Neurospora crassa OR74A: one gene and its partners. The protein of the gene in region 1 purifies or fractionates together with the protein of each later gene. This does not show direct contact. Links are inferred from orthologs where the notes say so. Each region holds a gene or a part of one and is shown in the gene's direction. Other genes may lie near its edges. The genes, in order: rbg-40, NCU01675 and NCU09475.

Region 1 (3,747 bases):
ACTCATCAGATCGACGGCATCGGCTTCAGCGTTGCTCTTGAGGAAGAGCGGCACCAGAACCAGGGCAAGATCGACCAGCTCTTGAGTCGGCTCATCATTGGCTATGCGCTTGGCGTAGACCTCGCCAATCTCGAGGGCGAGATGGCGAACGTACTCATGACCCCACGAGCCAATGTCCTGTGTTGGGGAAAGAAGTCTGTATTTCAGAGTATCCTGGCGGTCCTCGTCCGAGTATGTCATACCGATCACCGATAGAACATCTGCGAGAGATGACTTATCATCGCCAGCGGGCCACTCGTCGTAGAGTTTCGTCATGGTTTCATAATGCGGGCGCAGGAACTTGAGCGGCTTCGGTACCGCCGTCATGGAGGATGTGGATGTCTTGATAGAGTTCTTCATGGCCTCGAGGGCCGGCTTGTAGAGGGTCGCATCGGATTCCTGAAGACATTGTACTGTTAGAGAAGCCGGTCTTCAGCCTGTATCACGTCATTGCGAAGCACCAACCGTTAGCCGCTCAACGAGCATCTCAAGCTCGCTCTTGAGCTGCTGATCCTCTTCACTGAGTTCCTCGGAAGCTAACGCAAAGCGCTGTCAGCAGAAGCCCGGCGCCGATACCTCAAGTCGGTCGGAGTGGCCGAGAAACCCACCATTCTGTTCCTCCTCCTTCTTTCCGTTTGCGGGGGTCTTTCCATCGACATCTTGGTGCTTCTTCTCGTCATCGACGGCCTTTCCCTTGCCCTTATCGGCCGTCTTGGACAGGTCGCTTTCTTGCGCCATGATTACTGGCCGTGATGGTTGTAGGTGGGAGGATTCGCGGAGCCGATGGGTCCAGTTGGAGGGGAAACCAAGGTCGGTTGGGCTGGCCGGGGTAGGTGGACGCGGCGGTGGCGTTCGCTGCTGCAAGAAATGTTCAAGTTTTGTCACCGAGTTTGCTTGAGCGACAGGAACTTGAGCTCCAGTCGTGAGCAGAATGTCAAAATCAAAAGTGGATGAGCTGGCTGCGGTTGTTTGGAGGTTGTTATGTTGTTCAGGTGACGGTTTTGGAGGTTGGAGCTTTTGCAGGTTCGCCCAGAAGCACCTCAGTTGCTGAAAGCCAGCAAAGGTCAGTGGCAGTTACGGTACTAACGCCAGGGAGCTCCGATGGTGGTTACGCGACTCGCTTGCCGCCTGAAGCTCCCCCGTCTGGCTGAGAACGCCCCTGCGATCCAATGCTGCCCGCCTCAAGTGGGTCTGGAAGCCTCGGTGGGGACGAGGCGTCATCAGAGCCTGGAAGATACAAATTCCGCTCCCCCCAAGCTTCTGATAAGATAAGCTACTGGCCTGGACCTGGCGCTTGACCGGGCAGGCACAGCTCAGCGAATGGAGCCCACGGCCAGCCCTATCTTATCGGGAAGATGTTATCGCAACCGTGCATTTGGAATTTGGGGGACGCCCACTTTCCATTCTGGACATCAGCTTTGCGCTTCACCCACCTTGACTTTGACTTTGACGAGAGCGTCGTAGACAGCAACCTAATAGCTCTCTTGGATCAATACAACATCAGAAAATCTCTCACAGCAATTAGGCCGACAATCACCTGAGGGGAAAAAACAAAAAACATCCAAAAAGAAACACACAATCATGTTTTTGGACACCAGAGTTTTACGCCATCTCACGGCAGAAGACTGGAGAGTCTTGACTGCCGTTGAGATGGGCAGCAAGAACCACGAGCTCGTCCCGACCCCTCTGATCGAGAGAATTGCCCGTCTCAAGGGCGGTGCCAGTGGTGTTCACAAGAGCATAGCGACCCTTGCCAAGTCTGGCCTCATCGGACGCATGAAGGAGGCCAAGTACGACGGCTACCGACTGACCTACGGCGGTCTTGACTATCTGGCCCTACACACCCACTCCTCGAAAGATGTCGTCTACAGCGTTGGCAGTCGTGTGGGTGTTGGCAAGGAATCCGACATCATGATCGTAGCCGACAAGACCGGCAAGCAGAAGATTCTCAAGATCCATCGCCTAGGCCGCATTTCCTTCCGTACCGTCAAGTCCAACCGCGACTACTTGCGCAACCGGCAAGGCGGCTCATGGATGTATCTCTCGCGGCTTGCGGCCATGAAGGAATATGCCTTCATGCAGGCTCTCCAAGAAGAAGGCTTTCCCGTTCCCGAACCGATTTCCCAGTCCCGACACACTATCGTCATGAGCCTGGTCGAGTCCCTACCACTTAGACAGGTCTCCTCGGTTCCAGACCCCGCGAGCCTCTACGCTGAGCTTATCGACCTCATCCTTCGATTGGCCAAGCACGGGCTCATCCATGGTGATTTCAACGAGTTCAACATTTTGATCAAAGAGGAGCGGACCACCAAGTACACGATCGAGGACGGCGAGGAGAAGGAGACGGAGACGGTAACCCTTGTCCCAGTCATTATCGACTTCCCACAAATGGTGTCTATGGACCACGTAAACGCCGAGATGTACTTTGACCGCGATGTCGAATGCATCAAGAGGTTCTTCAAGAAGCGCTTCCACTTTGTGCCCACACAACCCGGTCCTTTCTTCAAGGATGCTAAGAAGACGGTTGGCAAGGATGGAGCTAAGCGGTTGGACGCCACTGTGGAGGCTTCAGGATTTACCAAGAAGATGCTCAAGGAACTGGAGAAGGCTATTCAGGAACAACAGGCGAAGATTGATGCGGGTGAGGCTGTGGAGGAAGAAGAACTCGACGAGGACGAGGACGAGGATGAGGAGGATGATAGTGGAAGCGATACAGATGATGAGGAAGATGAGGAAGATCAACAAGAGGAAGAGGAACACGCCGTGTTCGAGATTCCGGCAAATGTTGGAAGGCCTTTGTCAGATGCAGAGAAGGGGCTGGAAAAGTTATCACTTGGCGGCAAGGGCGGCAAGCGAAGGGCTTGAAGCACATCGAGAGGAGAAAAGAAACGCGTTTCATGTCAGCTTTGAGATACCCCCAAATCCTATGCATTTCTATCAAGCAAATTTGTACTAAGACGTGCCAAGCAGGTTTTTAAGACTTTACGCTTATCAGTTTTTTTGCAACCCATATGTTGATTATGACACCCTCCGCAAAAGCAGTTTGACACACGTCACAATCGAATAAAGCCCAACTTGAATCACATTGAAACGTACTAATACTTTAGCTTCTGCTCCCACCTAACCTTCAAAGACCTCTGGCGGCGATGTCGGCTCTACTGACCATTTTCCGCCGCTGGCACGATAGGCTTCGGCACCGGGACATAATCATATGTGCCCGCCATACCCATCAACCAAACCTGACTGGGGTGCGCAGGAACCTTCTCTCCATACAAGAATGAGCTAGGAAACCCAATATCGAACGGAACCGCGCTCTCAATCTCGTCGATATCCTTGTCCGACAACGCCAGCGTGAGCGCCTCAATGTTACCCTTCAGGTGCTCGACCGACCGGCCGCCAACAATCGGGAACACGTACGGAGCCTTGTGCATCACGTACGCCAGGGCGACGGAGGTGATGGCTGTGTTCTTACGCTGCGCAATCTTCTCCAGAGCCCGGCTGATTTTGATCTGCTCCTCGGTCGCCTTGATCTTGCGGCCTTCGTTGGCTTGCTGCTGGCGCTGCTCCTCCGATTTGAAGCTGCCGCCCCCGAGGGCCCCCCAGGGCGCGAGCCCCATGCCTTCGTCCCGGCACATGGGAATGATGTCCCGCTCAAAGTCGCGCGAGGCGGCGGACCACCGGCCTTGGTAAATGCAGAACTGCCGAAGT
Region 2 (3,747 bases), on another chromosome or scaffold:
CGAAAACGAGCTGCAGAATAAGCCAGAGGCTATCAAGGCCTATACAACTGCGGCCGAGTGGTATGAGAACGACGGTGCTGTCGCGTAAGTGATTAATGCCCACGGCTTTTGCGCCATGTTACGAGTCCAACAGGTCGTTCTAACCAGCTGTGTGTAGTCTTGCGAACAAGCTGTGGCTCAAGGTGGCCGACCTCTCTGCCCTCGCGGGCGACTTTTTCGCCGCTATAGAGAAGTTCGAGAAGGTTGCGGAGGCTTCACTCGGCAACAACCTGATGAGGTACTCGGTCAAGGAGTACTTCCTCAAGGCCGGTCTCTGCTCCTTGGCGACCAAGGATATGGTCACTGCTCAGCGTAACATCACCAAGTATGCCGAGAAGGACCCATCATTTACGGGCCAGCGCGAATACCAACTCCTGGTTGACTTGTTGGAAGCAGCCTCAAACAACAACCTCGAGATGTTCCAGGATAAGCTTGCCGCGTACGATAAGATGAGCCGGCTCGATGACTGGAAGGCGGCTGTTCTTCTCCAGATCAAGAACAACTTTGAGGAGGCAGACAACGAGTTTTCATAAACAGGGTGGAGGAACTTGTGATATACAGCCATTTATCACTTTCTGGTTTCCTTCTTTCCTTTTTCTTTTCTTTGTTATCGTACCGGCGTTTTCTGGTTGGGAGGGGGATGAACTGTCATATCATGAATACGGTCATCGACGCTTTGGTGATTTACGGAAGACCCAAACAAACCTGCTGTCTGGGGTAGAGATGGGCTTAAAGCAATAGAAACTTGTTCCTAGTGGGTACGCGTTGTTCGTACGATCCAACATGAATTGTTGTATCTCATAACCTTGATGGCTGCCCAAGCGAAACATAGGTACCTCTATAAGCATGAGATGCCATAGCTAACCCTGGAGTTACAGTTGGGAGCCGCTTCGGACTAGCGCCAGACCCTTATCAATGACAGCGGGTGGGGCGTGCGCGCCGATAAGCGACAACTTTTCGAACTTTTCTGTTCTTCATGACATCGATTTCAGCACTGCGAAGCGGCTTGCATTGTCCCACTCCAGCGCCATTCCATCACATTCACGATGGCTTCTTCTCCGTCTTTGCAGGAGAAACTGGACAAGATTCGGTCTCCGAATCTCCAGAGCCAGAAGCAGGTAAGCCAGAGTCATGATGCATCTCTCCTTTTTCCATCTTTTGTCTTCTGCATCCCTACCCTCTTCCTTCCAGCCTGCCATTGCAGTGGCCTGTCGCAAGGCCGCCTCCATCGTGGACAATGGACCCTGACTTGAGCCACAGACTGCCAGTGTCCTCGAGGCTATCGAGGCCACCTTCAAGGAGCGCAATACACCCGCGACTCCTACCGCCTACTTCGCTGCCCTTCTCAGTCTACTCAACAACGAAAACCTCGCGACCCCCGTCGTCTACCTCCTCGATGTCGTCACTCCCTTCGCTCCAAAGCCTATTCTTCAGGCCAAGTTCACTCAGATCATCACCATCCTCGCGCCAGTACTATCCCTCCCCGATGCCGATGCTCCCCTCATGAGGGCCTCGATCGGCTCTCTCGAGAGCTTGCTCCTTGCTCAAGATGCGACACAGTGGGAGCTCGGTACCGCCCAGATTGGCCCCCGCCGGGCTGTGGCCGGCCTCCTCGCCCTTGCCCTCGACCCGCGTCCCAAAGTCCGCAAGAGAGCCCAGGAAGCGCTCAGGAACATCCTGAAGAACCCTCCGCCGAGCCCGTCTCTCGACCACCCCGCCGCCCCCATGTGCGCCGAGACAGCCATGCAGAGCCTCCGTCTTGTCGCTGACAAGGCCGCCGCCCAGAGGAAGGAAAAGAAGACTACCGACTCTACCCACGATCCCGAGCTTATCCACGCCTTGCAACTCGTCAAGGCTGTCGCCTCTGGAAGCGGTGGCTGGCCCAGCAAGAGCATTGAGTCTTTGTGCGAGCTCCTTCTCAGCATTGCCCGGACGGGCAACGAGCACATGAGCATGGCTGTCTTCGAGATCTTCGAGATGATGTTCGAGGGCATGGCCGCCGACGAGGTTGCCTCCGCCAAGCTTCCTCGGCTGCTCGAGATCATCAGAGAGCTCCGTCCCGCGCCCAACGATACCCAGCTTCTCCCTCCCTGGATCGCCATTCTGTCGAGAGCCTACGATGTTGCCGGTCAGATTTCGCCCGCCGAGACCTTCCAAGAGCTGGTCGATCCTTTCACTCTGGTTGCAGGATACCTCGAGTCCCAGCACAAGAATATTCGCGTTTCGGCGTCCGAGTGCTTGGTCTCCTTCCTGGCCAACTGTGTCCCCAAGGAGGCCATCCTTGAGCCTTCGATTTTTGACGAGAAGGTCATTCAGCAACTAGTCAAGGTTGTCGAGGGCCTTCTCACCGTCCAGTACCAAGCTGCCTGGATGGAGACTTTCAACGTTCTTGGTGCCATGTTCGATGCCTTTCGGTGGCAGGCTAACCCTTACCTCCTTTCCGTCGTCAAGAGCATCGGCGAAATCCGCGGTAACGATTCTTTCGCTGGAAAGCAGGAAGCCGACGAGGTCCTTGGCAAGGCGATTCGTGCAATGGGTCCTGAGGCGGTCTTGAATGTTCTTCCCCTGAACCTCGCGAAGCCCGTCAAGGGTCAGCCTGGCAGAGCTTGGATGCTTCCTCTTCTCCGTGACTACACCTCCAACACCAATCTTGCACACTTCAAGAGCGAATTGGTTCCTCTCAGTGCTATCATGTTCCAGCGTGTGATTGAGCACCAGGGCGAGAAGAACATTCACATCAAGATTTTCGAGACTGTTGTTCAGCAAATTTGGTCGATTCTTCCCGGCTACTGCGACCTTCCACTTGATCTTGTCGAGGCCTTTGACACAGGCTTCGCTGAGATGTTGACCAACCTTTTGTATGAGCAGGTTGACCTGCGCTTGGATATTTGTCGCGCCCTCAGGACCGTTGTTGAGTCCAACCAGGCCATCGCCACTTCCGATGAGGTCGATGACCTCATTCTCTTTGGCAGGGTCAGCAAGGAGCAGGCGCAGAAGAACTTGGAGTACCTCGGAGCCACCTTTGCAGCTGATTTCCTCGCTGTTCTCTTCAACGTCTACAGCACCACTCTCCCCCAGAAGCGCGGCCCTGTCCTCCAGACCATCAACGCCTACCTCAGCATCATCCCTCCCGCGCGTCTTACCGAGACTTTCGACATGGTGTGCGAGAAGCTCGCCGAGGCTCTTCAAGAGGCTGTTGAGAAGAAGCCCCAACAACAGCAGAAGGCCGATCACATGCCTTCTGCCGCGCACACTCTCATGGACCTGGTCGTTACCATGTCTATCTACCTCCCCCGTGCCAGCTTCGAGGCTCTTTTTAAGATCGCTTCAGTGGTCATCTTCAAGGATGATGACCCTCAGCTGCAGAAGAAGGCTTACAAGCTCATTCCTCGCTTGGCGGATTCCCCCATCGGCAAGGCCGCCCTCGAGGAGAGACATGGCGAGCTCCAAACCCTGTTCCTGTCCAGCTCTGAGAAGGTGTCGGCACCTGCCCGGAGAGAGCGCCTGGCTGCCATTGCTGCTCTGATTCACTTCATCCCCAACGATTCCCTGCACTTCATTCCCTCCATTCTTTCAGAGGTTGTCATTGGCTGCAAGGAGCACAACGAGAAGGCTCGCACTACCGCCTTCGACCTTCTGGTTCTCCTTGGCCAGAAGATGGTTTCTGCTCAGGGCTCTTTGATCGATAACAGCAAGGTCCCTCACATG
Region 3 (3,747 bases), on another chromosome or scaffold:
ATGGGTTCAACGGAGTCTGGCAGATAAGAGGCACTCGATAAGAAATTTAATTAGCTTTGTCCACTTCCATGACCGTGACCGGATACCTCAACGGCCAGGCGCGGTCATAGTGTACACGATATGGGACCTGTTCATCATAGGGCTGGACTAGTGTCGTGGAGAATTCCATCCAGCCATCGATAGGTCCATACATCATTCACATACGTCACTGGCATATCGTGTGAACTCAGATGTTGCTTTGAGGCAGTAAATTAGTTTCCTATTCTACCGCCTCTAGTCCTTCTTGTCCTCTTCCATGGATTGGGGTATCATAGAGAACTGCCCATGGGCCGTTCCCATCGGACTAGGCGCGCACACACACGGCTTGCACGTAAGCATCGAACTCGGGTACAGCTCTTTCCCAGGCAGATAGGAGGCGAGTCTGCCCCGTTCGTTTGTCGTGATCTTGGTCGTTCCGTTCGTATCTTCCGATCGATGCATAATCCCAGTGTGATTGTGTAAAGAATCTGAGGAGCACTTCCCGATTCCCCTCCCACTAAAATGCTACACCGTGTGCATTGTGCATGCAAAGATTGACCATTCCCACCAGAGACGTAGCCCGATCAAAAAAGTCAAACCCCTTCTTGTCGCTGACGAACCACCTTTTCAAGTCTGCCGGTCCGTCATGTCAAGAAAATCGCTAGGTGTTTGGACATTTACTCGTCAGCGCCAATGGCACGGGCTGTAGAAGTCGCGTGTTAGCTAATTGTTCTCGAATATGTCTCTGATCGAAATCCAATGTCGCCGGTCAGTTCAACCGGGCGAGGGAGACGTACTGTAGATCTTCATCTTGCTGTGTCCAACAACCTGCTTGATCTGACCCTTCTCCTCGAGGTCCTTGAGGCAGCGGCGGGCAAGCGAGCCGTTGATCTTGAGACGGTCGACGAGGGTGGCGACGGTGACAAGGCGGTAGGACTGGACGTCCTTGTAAAGCTTGTCGGAAGTGGACTTGTCAAGGATGACGGCGTGCTGGGCCTTGTCCTTGACTGTGGGTGTGTGTCAGTGAATTTGGCCCAAACTTTTCGTGTTGTCGGGGAGCGCCATCACGGCAGTGACGACGGCCATGACGGCGACAGTCGTGAAGCCATCATCATCTGCTGGAAATGACGACCCCGAAAAATGGACAGAGATTCTCCTTACCCTTGCCCTTGGACCACTTCTTCTTCTGCTTCTTAGCACCAGACGCGGCGGGAGCCATTTTGAATGATGAGTTCTGGTGGTTTGGTGGATGAAGGGGAGAGGGAGAGACAGTCCTGGCTTCAAGGTCTTTTCCTCTGCGCAACGAAAAGGCGGGGAGATTTTTCTGGTCGGCGCGCAGGCAAGTGTGGCTCGGGCGCTGGGCTGGTCTCTGCGCACGCACACACTGCACACACTCCGGCCAGTGACTGCGGGTGCGCGCCAGGCCAAGCTTAGGTTAACTGAGCCCTAACCATTTTGCTCCCCCTTTGCGGCAACCAGCGTGGCGGTGCACGGGCCGCACAACTGGGGGCACAACTGGGTCTTTTGGGGCTTCGTAGCGGCAGATTGGGGCTTGACCACCTGGGGCGGGGCCACCAAAAAATTCCCACGACGACCCGTCACTCTCCGCTCGCCGAACGACCACCCTTTCGACGTTATCCTGTCCGAACTCACGGCCAACTTCACCACCAATTACCTGCAGTCCGGCCACCGAACAGCAATCAAAATGTCTGAGGGAGAAGTTGACGTCGCGGCCGTTTCCCAGTACGAGGTCCTCCCCAAGGAGGTCCTCGCTGAGGTTGGCAGTGTGAAGCTGTTCAGTATGTTTTCTACGGTCCTTCGCAAAGTGCACATGGGCGTCGTCATGCTAACTTTGCGACCTCAGACCGCTGGAGCTACGAGGATGTCGAGATCAGGGATATCTCTTTGACGTAAGCGCAACCCGTTTAGATGATGCACACATACCAAAACAACCAAGAACACGGCCCTTTCAGATTGCTACGAAAACGCGATCCGACGGACATGTACGCGAGAAGGAGAAGGAAAAGAAAGAGTCAGGAAAATGTTGGAAATTAGGAGTTACGATTGATCGCCAATTCGGTTGGAGGACGTGGGGGATTTGGGCAACATCCATCTTGGTCGCAAAGATGATACAAGACACATACGCGAACGGAGGGCTAACGACCAATATCTACGCAGCGACTACATCCAGATCCGTTCTCCCGTCTACCTCCCCCACTCCGCTGGTCGCTATGCCGCCAAGCGTTTCCGCAAGGCCAACTGCCCCATCATTGAGCGTCTCACCAACTCCCTCATGATGCACGGTCGCAACAACGGCAAGAAGCTCATGGCTGTCCGCATTGTCGCTCACGCCTTCGAGATCGTAAGACTTCCCGAAATGCGCAATAATCTGCGATACGCGATTATCCAGACACAGTCACTTACACACGATATCTAGATCCACCTCATGACCGACCAGAACCCCATCCAGATCGCCGTCGATGCCATCGTCAACTGCGGTCCCCGCGAAGACTCCACCCGTATCGGTTCCGCCGGTACCGTCCGTCGCCAGGCCGTCGATGTCTCTCCCCTTCGCCGTGTCAACCAGGCCATCGCCCTCCTCACCACCGGTGCTCGCGAGGCTTCTTTCCGCAACGTCAAGTCCATTGCCGAGTGCCTTGCTGAGGAGCTGATCAACGCCGCCAAGGGCTCCTCCAACTCGTACGCCATCAAGAAGAAGGATGAGCTCGAGCGTGTTGCCAAGTCCAACCGTTAAAGCGGTTCTGGCTGGCTGCAGGTGTATGGGGGAAACTTGTTGGGTGCTTGGAGTTGTTGGACGGATTCTATTCGGCATGTTTTGCTCGGCTGCTACTACGGCTGCATTTGTTGCGCGTTAAAAGGGAACTGGGTCTGGGAGGATGCGGTTCTTCTACGGCACTTAGGTCAAAACAGGCAGGCACTCAATAAGGGCTCTCAGACATTGAATGAGAGGAAAACGTGGATTTGCGGACAAGATTTTAAGTGCATATACCACGAGGCGCCGGTGATTCGGTGAAATTATGATTCCCCTTTTCTTTCCATGCATGACGTCCGTTTGACCATGAGTGAACGACTGAACATCAGTTCCAACACCTTTTTGCTTTCAGACTTAACGTCCCTACCCTCTTTTTGTATGATACAACATATCGCAAGCGCTAATAGCAAGGAAGCATTTTCGCTGAATCTCCCTGGCTCCAACAACATGACGTAAGTCATCTGCCGCTTCAGGCTCCTGCTTAACGTCACCGCTACAGAAGTCTAGCTGCTCATACTTCATCATGTATTAGTTTCAATAGGGCGGTACTTCTGCCATCAAGTGAATTAACGACTCAAGACTTCCTCTAGCCCTTTATGACCCATCTTCCCATCACCCTTTTTATGGTATCAATGTCACACACACCCGCTAACAAGAAGGAAACACTGTCACAAATACCACTACCAACCACCAACATCTTTGCCCAATATCCCCCAATGTCCATTCGTCCTCAGCCCCGACTCCGGCAGATACCCCTACGCCCTCGCATCCACCCGACAAAACATGCCAACATGCTCAATCCCCTCCTCCCACCACCTCCCCATCTCTTCATCTACCACAAAGCCAGCCCTCTGCCAAGCACCGACGGCACTGACCTGGGCGTGAACGCAAAACAGACCTCGCCACTTAGGCATCATCCTCGCGTCCCTTTCCGGATCGATTCCCAGGGCTTCGAA

Evidence for each region.
Region 2: the proteins of rbg-40 (region 1) and NCU01675 purify together in Saccharomyces cerevisiae (affinity purification with mass spectrometry; 4 studies listed by BioGRID). This does not show direct contact. The link is inferred for Neurospora crassa OR74A from reciprocal best matches to the Saccharomyces cerevisiae genes RIO2 and RRP12.
Region 3: the proteins of rbg-40 (region 1) and NCU09475 purify together in Saccharomyces cerevisiae (affinity purification with western blotting; 8 studies listed by BioGRID, with this or other methods). This does not show direct contact. The link is inferred for Neurospora crassa OR74A from reciprocal best matches to the Saccharomyces cerevisiae genes RIO2 and RPS5.

What each region holds. Positions count from the first base shown.
Region 1 is NC_026504.1:2,085,314-2,089,060, reverse strand, and holds rbg-40 (serine/threonine-protein kinase RIO2), read left to right. Parts: upstream 1-1,456; 5' UTR 1,457-1,620; coding exon 1,621-2,904; 3' UTR 2,905-3,152; downstream 3,153-3,747. Other genes in the region: rpn-1 (26S proteasome regulatory subunit rpn1), read right to left, coding at 1-438, 505-575, 648-777; NCU07723 (norsolorinic acid reductase), read right to left, coding at 3,195-3,747. UniProt on the Saccharomyces cerevisiae protein: Required for the final endonucleolytic cleavage of 20S pre-rRNA at site D in the cytoplasm, converting it into the mature 18S rRNA. Involved in normal export of the pre-40S particles from the nucleus to the cytoplasm.
Region 2 is NC_026502.1:2,739,673-2,743,419, reverse strand, and holds the start of NCU01675 (90S preribosome component RRP12), read left to right. Parts: upstream 1-989; 5' UTR 990-1,085; coding exon 1,086-1,157; intron 1,158-1,299; coding exon 1,300-3,747. Other genes in the region: NCU01674 (alpha-soluble NSF attachment protein), read left to right, coding at 1-84, 158-572. UniProt on the Saccharomyces cerevisiae protein: In association with GSP1, required for nuclear export of both pre-40S and pre-60S ribosomal subunits. Required for the late maturation of the 18S and 5.8S rRNA of the pre-40S ribosomes and for maturation of the 25S and 5.8S rRNA of the pre-60S ribosomes.
Region 3 is NC_026502.1:4,399,349-4,403,095, reverse strand, and holds NCU09475 (40S ribosomal protein S5), read left to right. Parts: upstream 1-1,515; 5' UTR 1,516-1,723; coding exon 1,724-1,817; intron 1,818-1,882; coding exon 1,883-1,928; intron 1,929-2,196; coding exon 2,197-2,380; intron 2,381-2,455; coding exon 2,456-2,773; 3' UTR 2,774-3,405; downstream 3,406-3,747. Other genes in the region: NCU09476 (40S ribosomal protein S25), read right to left, coding at 696-721, 816-1,025, 1,180-1,237; NCU09474 (acetyltransferase), read right to left, coding at 3,547-3,747. UniProt on the Saccharomyces cerevisiae protein: Component of the ribosome, a large ribonucleoprotein complex responsible for the synthesis of proteins in the cell.